Linked DNA regions of Nothobranchius furzeri. Each later gene encodes a partner of the first gene's protein in a complex. Links are inferred from orthologs where the notes say so. Each region holds a gene or a part of one and is shown on either strand. Other genes may lie near its edges.

Region 1 (4,247 bases):
TAACTGATTTTAAGGCCTCTGAAGCATAAAAGAATAATCAAAGAGGAGCTAGTGACCCTGCAGCGATGAACTCGCCAACGGTGAAGTTGTTGGGCTCCGCGCAGATCAACAGAGAGTCGTTTATGCGCTACAAATACAAACAAACACATGGACAAAGATGAGATCTGATGGTAAACAGAGTATGTAGCAGCAAGGCTTTTGAAGATCACTGACCCGCTCCACTGGGTTTTTGTTGTGGGTTTGAATATAAAGCTCCAATGTAGACAGCTGCTGCTCTTCCCACTTCTCTGGCTCTTCCACTTTAGGAGGTTCTGAGCAAAGAAAAGACCAAAAACAAAGATTAAAATAAGATTGTTGTGTTCTAGTGCTGGACTTTCAGAATAGTAACAAACACTCACCTTTAACCGGCGGGTTCCAGTAGTTCTTCAGTCTGCAGACGATGCGGCGAAGCAGGTTCGGCCTGGCGGGCTTCTGAGAGGGCAGGTCAGGGGGCCGCGGCGTGGGAGCCAGATAGAAAATGGACACGTCTCGGACCAGAGGCCACTCCTAGACAATATTTATGAAAATTACCCAAGTTTATGATTTACAGGAACATAAAATATCTAAGGCTCATCTACAATATGTGAAATAGTGATTCAGTGCTCCGATGATCAGAAAAATACTGAAAAACTGACATATTTCCTTAGAAAATAACCAAAACATTGACTTTACACATGTACATTAAAAGAAAAGCTACACCAGTGAGATGACATTGCAAAATCAAGTTTATATTCCTTTGTGCAGATTAGCCTGCAGGATCTTTCTCACCTTCAGAGTGTGAAGCCAGTGTGCTGCATTTGCCTTCAGTGGTCCAAGATACCAATATCTGTGTGGGCCAAATACAACTGTAAGACGGTCTCATCAAATATGAAATACACAATCTTTGTCACCATCTGGGTGAATTTACTTGCTAATTCTTGCAGCTACATCTCTAAAAGCACCCCAACGCAATCCAACCAGAGCAAAGACGGGCTGCTCTTTCTCTCCCTGCAGACAAACACAAATGCAACACATCCATCATATGACTTCGGTACACTTGTATAGTTAATGAACCCCTGAAATCGGCATCGGAGACATGATTGTTATGCTATTCTGTGTAAACCATCTCTTACTTTGATTTGTAGCACATCCAGAGGAACCGTTTCTCCTTTCAGAATGGACAGTGTGGCTGATGTGATATTCCTGAATATTCAACACAATGTAAAACTCACACAAGGAAATCCATTCGTCAAACGAAAGGCCATAAATACATGATATCACATACTTGTCTCAGCTATTCAGGCTTTTTTACTCGTATTACTTACTTGACTTTGTCGTCACTGAGAAAATGAAGACTTGGACTTAAGGAATTATTAGAACCCAGAGGAATGAATCCGATTGGTGTGTTACTGAAGGTTTCCTGTTGTCAAAAATAAACCTGTTGTGCACTTTCTACTTGATAATAGCTTTTAATAAAGGTGTAACACAACATAACAGATAACCAGAATTATGCTACACTTGCTTGATCCGGTCTTCGCAGTAAACCTGTGACGACCTCCTGTAACGTCCCATCTCCTCCAGCCACGATCAACATGTCTGTCAGTTCCATGAGCTCCAACAGTTTCTTTGCTTGACCTTCATAGTCTGTCTGTGGAAAAAGACTGGTGTAACACTCGGTTTATGCCAATCCTTATGATCAATGGTTCATTTATTTATACCTTGACTACTGTAATTTCCACTCCAGCCAGGTGTAAAATGGGGGCAGCATTCTTTTCAAACAAGCTGTTGGCTTTCCTGAAAACATTTGGGGAAAGGGAAAGTGTTTGTTTTGGGAAAGACTGTGCTGATAATACAGATATGTGACTTTTATAAGTTTTTACCCATTAGATGCTGCAGGATTCAAAATCACTGTTGCTTTTTTCAGACCTTCGTGTGGTGCTATTTGCTGACGTCCAAATTCCTAAGTAATGATACTTAGAATTACAATTAAAATGAAGTAAACTGCTATTTTGATTCTAATTGTTTTGAGGGCAATAAAAAATGAAGTTATACTTTACCCTGGCAATTTGACAAGCCTCTCTGCGCACAACGCTTTCACTAAAATACAAGGTACAAGATTTTTGAGTGGCAAACAAACTTAATGCGAGTAAAAAAATCTAATAAACTCACCAGTGTTTACCATACAGCCAATATCCACCATAAGAAAGGACGCACACAGCTAATGTTGATTTTTTCCAGTGATTTCGAAGAGTCCGAAACACTTTTACTACCCGAGCCATAACACTTCAGAGACCCCTGTCTTATTAATGTACAGAATTTATAGTGGAACAAATAACTGAAAATCACAAATTTCTACCAGAGCGGTCACAGAATAATGCTGCATGGAAATAGTGGTGTTACGTTTAAAGAGTACGGAGCAAAACAAGGCGGAACTATTTCTGACCTTTCTGACGGAGAATGTAATGGGTAATATGTTTTAGCAAAAATCTAGTGTTGAACTAAATAAACATATCATATTATTTGAAGAAAGAAAATCAACCATTAAGTAAATTTAAATTATTTCTCAAATATTTTTTCAGGCTACGCAAGAAAAGTTTACTTCCGGTAGCTTCAACTTTCGAGGACCTCGCCTGATAATTTTATACTAAAACCACATTTTAAAGAAATTACTATGACTTATTAAGTGACTATATTTTACATTTGACGTTTATTTTTAATAGCTGAGAAAATATATTTTGGAACTTTTCATAAAGTATTTATTATTTTTTGCATTTCACACCGGCAATAACTTAACAGCTGCTGTCCAAAACGGTCTGTGTGGATCATGGCGGCGCCGATGGCGGTAAATTCAGGTAATAATTCTTATTTCTGAGCATTTTTATGCTGAGAGACGTTTTTTATCAATATACCCTGAATCATAACACACGTATAAAGACATACGTGTTAAATCTTGTGAGTAGCTTATTGGTATTTAGTAGTTTTAATTGCACAGTTGATCTTTTTAGGTTATGACACGGGCTGTTAGGCTACTTTAGCCTAGCCTTACTCATGGCTGAAAAACGTTGCATTAGCTTGTTTTGGTTGTAGACACATTGACCAGACCTCACTTCTACAACAAAATACGCGAAAATATATGAATTGCACATTTAGAAATTATATATATATATATCAACCATATATAAATATGTCCCTACAATTGTTAGCGGGTTCAGTTGACGTATTTGCCCACTACTTGGAAATAAAACTGAAACTACAAAAGTTGATGATTGTTTTCGTCAGTGAGGAGTAAATAAATGATGTTGGTCACATTAATATGCTACCATTGTGAGTGCGCGCGTTAACTCATCGTGTAGATTTTTTGCGCATTTTATGTGAAAGTAATTTCATCACTTTTGCAAGGCTAGGCTATCTGTCTGTCTGTCTGTCTAATGTTGCGAACGAGTACGGTTATAAGAAACTTGCACGCAGAAATCCATGTTTTTTGCCTGCATATATTATAAACTAATTCGTTCAGGAGCCAGTCTGTGGGGGCCACTGAAGGAGCTATGGGAGACAGTAGATGGAGCTATACTGAAGAGACAGCCAGAAACTGTCCACCTTCTGGATCTGCAACTGAAGAAACACAAACCACATTTTATGTCACTCTTTAAGAATGTGGTGAGATAACAGCTCTCTTGTTGAAGTTATTCAAATTAAATGTTTGAGAAATGTTCTTTTAACCTTTACATTTGTTGTTGTTACCCAATGTATAGATTTATATTGAGACATAGCTTTTTCAAACACATGATTTTCCCAATATTTTTAGCCAAAGAGTGCAGAGCAGAGGGAAAAAGTACGCAAGGCCAGCACAGAAGGCATCGCCATTCAAGGACATCAGGGTTCACGTCTTCTTCCAGAGACGCTCCTGACGGAGGCCTTTATCCTCAGTGATCTGTTTGACATTGGAGAGTTAGCAGCTTTGGAGCTTCTCTTGGCAGGTAGAGTGATCTCTTAAAAACCAGCTTATAAGTTACATTTTTGAAGGGAAATTTGTGACTGCATAATTTTGGTAGAAATGCAGAAACAGTCACATTACCTGTTACTAAATATTATTTTTTTAATCAAGTGTGTGATTTGGAAGGAAAGATGAAGGCAGTCATGAAATAATTAACAGAGTGTACTTTTTTGTTCCACCAGGTCAACAACAACAGCCCCATTTTCCAGGCCTGACACGAGGCCTAGTGGCTGTC
Region 2 (3,956 bases), on another chromosome or scaffold:
ACTCCTGTTTACCTTCCCTAGCCTTGCAATAGAGTTCATCCAAAGCACTCAGCTCATGCTAAATAACCATCCTGTGGAGACTCAACCAGATTTTTCAGTGGAATCATTTTAACAGCTTAAAGAAACATCCTTTTAAATCAATCAATTATTACCTGCTCAATCCACCACCTACTCATCAGACATGAAACCGTCTGTCAGAAGCCACCTGGGAAGTATCTTTTCGACCAGTCGTGCGTGTTCTGAGGAGGCCCTACGACCTTCAGACACTTCAGAAGTCCACTCACTCGCTCTGCAGAGACAGCTTCACTTGCAGAGAACTTCTACTGTCCTGGTGTGTAAGGTAGGCTATTCAATGGCGTCAGAGAGGCTGATATTAATTTACTAACTTGTTAAATTACATCAAACAGCCAGATTTATTTTATAAACCCAGACATCACACCTGTCTGAGCCCCTTAGTGAAGCTCTTACAAGGTCATGTTTCATCAGAGTTCCTTCATTGTCTCATTTAATATCACTTTGAATCACCATTTACAATAATTTGTCTTTCATCATCATTGATAATAGAAATATAGTAATAAATTGATTTTTATAAACTATATTATTACCTCTGTGTCAAATTATTAACGTGTTGTTTCCCTGGCATACCCAAAGTACCTGGTTTCATCATTAATCGAATATTAAAAGCTCAATAATATTGATAATCCAACTTTTTATGCACGATTACATTTTATTGAATACATTTATATTCTATGACAATTTATTAAAAGTAACCACTTACAAAAACGTTGCAGTATACTACATTGGGCAGGTGGAAATGATGTAAAGTCATAGAATCTCTAATATAATAACATCTGTAATATTTAGATTCATCACATCCACTTAACTTTTGGAGATTTTAAATGTTTGCCTAAGAAATAAGCTTTCACATCACCCATGTCTCTCTCTCTTTCACACACACACACACACACACACACACACACACACACACACACACACACACACACACACACACACACACACACACACACACACACACACACACACAGTGGGCTATTTTAGGCTGAAAGACTTCTGACTCATAATTTGTTTCTTCTTTCTTTGTTGACTTCCGTAAAAGTCCTGCCAAGCGGAACGCTTAAAGCTCTAGTTTTCCTGTCGGAGGGCTAAAGCCGAGACACCAATGGTCGCCATTTTGGCTCCATGTGAGCTCCAGCACAGAGCTCCAGCGGACGTCGAGGCGCTGAAGGTGATCGTTTCCAGCAGCGATGGCTTCGCTACGGTCTGCTAGGAGGATGTTTTGTGCTGCGGCGCAAACGGGAGCTGTTTCCGTCCCAGCTGGCCGCTGGGAGAAACTAAAAACCAGTAAAGCGGGTGAGTTTCGTGGGGGGAAGCCAGCTTATGCCCGGATAATGAAGCAATTCACTTGAGATGAAATGGGTTAATTTATCGGCGCGGATGAGACGTATCTGCGCTGGAGGCTTACCTAGCTAGACATATTTAGTTTAGTGTGGTTTTTGTCTCTTTGTGGAACACTTTTCTCCATGATTATCATTTTTTATGCTTGTTTTTTAGGGGAAGAGGGTAAAATTAGACGTTTTGTGTGTATGATGTAGAGTTTTTCTAGTCAGAATGAGGGGAAGTTAAACTACCACTTCAAACAATTGGGTTCAGTTTACTGACCTGACCAGGTGCCTCAGACCTGACCCAGTGCCTCAGACCTGACCCAGTGCCTCAGACCTGACCAGACCCGGTGCCTCAGACCTGACCCGGTGCCTCAGACCTGACCCGGTGCCTCAGACCTGACCCAGTGCCTCAGACCTGACCCAGTGCCTCAGACCTGACCCGGTGCCTCAGACCTGACCCAGTGCCTCAGACCTGACCCGGTGCCTCAGACCTGACCTGACCAGGCGCCTCAGACCTGACCCGGTGCCTCAGACCTGACCCAGTGCCTCAGACCTGACCCGGTGCCTCAGACCTGACCCAGTGCCTCAGACCTGACCCGGTGCCTCAGACCTGACCTGACCAGGCGCCTCAGACCGGTGTTCTGATAAAACGTCCTACTTTGACAAAACGTCCTACCCGTAGGATAATTTTACGGTGTCCTCTGATAAAACGTCCTACTTTGACAAAACGTCCTACTGTACGTAATTTATGCACATTTCTGCTGCCAAACAATAATTCCAGCACAAATTTAAGTAGGTATGACAGTTTACCACTTAACTTTGCCAGAGTATGTTTGTAGCTGATTTTCATAAAGCCAGTACGGTTTCACACTTCTTTTTACCCATTAAAGTGTGCTTGTAGGTCATATTCACAAAGGTAGCATGCTTTGGCACGTAATTTTTATGCTTCTAGTTTATAATAACAAAGGTAGCATGTTTTGGCACGTAATTCTTATGCTTGTAGTTTATAATAACAAAGATAGCATGGTTTGGCACTTGTTTGTAGAAGCAGTCTGCATGCCAAGGTGCTTAAGTTATACAGCTGTCACCATTGAAGTGATTGGAACACCTGACTATATAAACTTTGACAATGAACTCACTCCATTATAGTTACAGTATATATTTACTGAATATATTTACAGATACATATATTTGACATTTATAGATCCAACAGAACACAGGGACAAAGAACTGAAAAAGAAATTTAATGTCAACTGTCATACCAAACCAGTAAAATCTGGAACACACTGCATTTAGCGTTTTGTGTGTGCCAGTGTGTCCTCGGATTGGAGATGAATGAAACTCATGAAAAATCTTCCTGGCATCAGCCATGGTTTTTACTACTCTTCTGGTTCCAACAAAGAGTTCTTCATCTGCAGTAAAACAATATATATTTAGAATTTAATGTAACCACATATATGAGTTGTTAGGATTAACAATAAATTACTGACCCTTTTGTTTGAATTTTGAGGCATATCTTCTGAGGTTTTGCCTCTGAGCCTTGTCATATCCTGAAGGGTAGGAGCTCGCAGAAATGAATGTGTAAATCTCTTCCCACTTCTTCTCCATATCTATGAATGTAAGTAGACATTTTCTTCTGAGCTTCAATATGTGCAGTTAACAATGCAAATAATTTAACTTATTAAATAGCGACATTACCGAAACAGCCTTAAAACACCGAAGCTGCGGATTCAGAAGTGTTGTCCAAATACCACATGTCCAGTAACCACAGCAGACTTAACCAAAGCTGCAAATTCGACAGTTTTGTGCAGAAAGCAGATAGCGACTTTACTTTAATATTGACAAACAATCACAAAGTCTTAAATAAATCAATAAAAAGTACTAATACTTAACTACTTACCTATTTTCCTGCAAATCTGACAACGGAGTAGCATGAAATCACAGCCGGATACATTTTGCTTCCCTTTTTGTGTTGTGCGCATGCGCAGGAACGACGGGTAGGACGGTTTACGGGGTAGGAGGAATTCCCGGAACACCGGCCCAGTTCCTCAGACCTGACCAGGTGCCTCAGACCTGACCTGACCAGGTGCCTCAGACCTGACCAAGCGCCTCAGACCTGACCAGGTGCCTCAGACCTGACCTGACCAGGTGCCTCAGACCTGACCAGGCGCCTCAGACCTGACCAGGTGCCTCAGACCTGACCCGGTGCCTCAGACCTGACCCGACCAGGCGCCTCAGACCTGACCTGACCAGGCGCCTCAGACCGGCCCAGTTCCTCAGACCTGACCAGGTGCCTCAGACCTGACCTGACCAGGTGCCTCAGACCTGACCAGGCGCCTCAGACCTGACCAGGCGCCTCAGACCTGACTCGGTGCCTCAGACCTGACCCGGTGCCTCAGACCTGACCAGGTGCCTCAGACCTGACCCGGTGCCTCAGACCTGACCTGACCAGGTGCCTCAGACCTGACCCGGTGCCTCAGACCTGACCTGACCAGGTGCCTCAGACCTGACCAGGCGCCTCAGACCTGACCAGGTGCCTCAGACCTGACCCGG

Evidence for each region. The genes of interacting proteins can lie anywhere in the genome.
Region 2: the proteins of agk (region 1) and timm29 are in contact, whole or in part, in a cryo-EM structure (PDB 7CGP), measured with the Homo sapiens proteins. The link is inferred for Nothobranchius furzeri from reciprocal best matches to the Homo sapiens genes AGK and TIMM29. Residues at the interface, in NP_060708.1 of Homo sapiens: His33, Asn36, Arg39, Arg40, Cys43, Gln44, Gln47, Asn51, Lys82, Pro86, His89, Leu90; in NP_612367.1 of Homo sapiens: Tyr145, Gln146, Cys149, Arg150, Tyr151, Leu152, Gln153, Arg155.

Annotation. Positions count from the first base shown.
Region 1 is NC_091744.1:88,194,907-88,199,153, forward strand, and holds the start of agk (acylglycerol kinase, mitochondrial), read right to left. Parts: upstream 2,801-4,247; 5' UTR 2,298-2,800; coding exon 2,188-2,297; intron 2,116-2,187; coding exon 2,076-2,115; intron 1,979-2,075; coding exon 1,899-1,978; intron 1,813-1,898; coding exon 1,737-1,812; intron 1,667-1,736; coding exon 1,541-1,666; intron 1,439-1,540; coding exon 1,344-1,438; intron 1,222-1,343; coding exon 1,152-1,221; intron 1,027-1,151; coding exon 947-1,026; intron 866-946; coding exon 808-865; intron 547-807; coding exon 399-546; intron 312-398; coding exon 214-311; intron 128-213; coding exon 57-127; intron 1-56. Other genes in the region: nuclear pore complex protein Nup205, read left to right, coding at 3,493-3,675, 3,824-3,995, 4,195-4,247. UniProt on the Homo sapiens protein: Lipid kinase that can phosphorylate both monoacylglycerol and diacylglycerol to form lysophosphatidic acid (LPA) and phosphatidic acid (PA), respectively. Does not phosphorylate sphingosine. Phosphorylates ceramide.
Region 2 is NC_091758.1:12,736,166-12,740,121, forward strand, and holds the start of timm29 (mitochondrial import inner membrane translocase subunit Tim29), read left to right. Parts: upstream 1-1,156; 5' UTR 1,157-1,265; coding exon 1,266-1,371; intron 1,372-3,956. UniProt on the Homo sapiens protein: Component of the TIM22 complex, a complex that mediates the import and insertion of multi-pass transmembrane proteins into the mitochondrial inner membrane.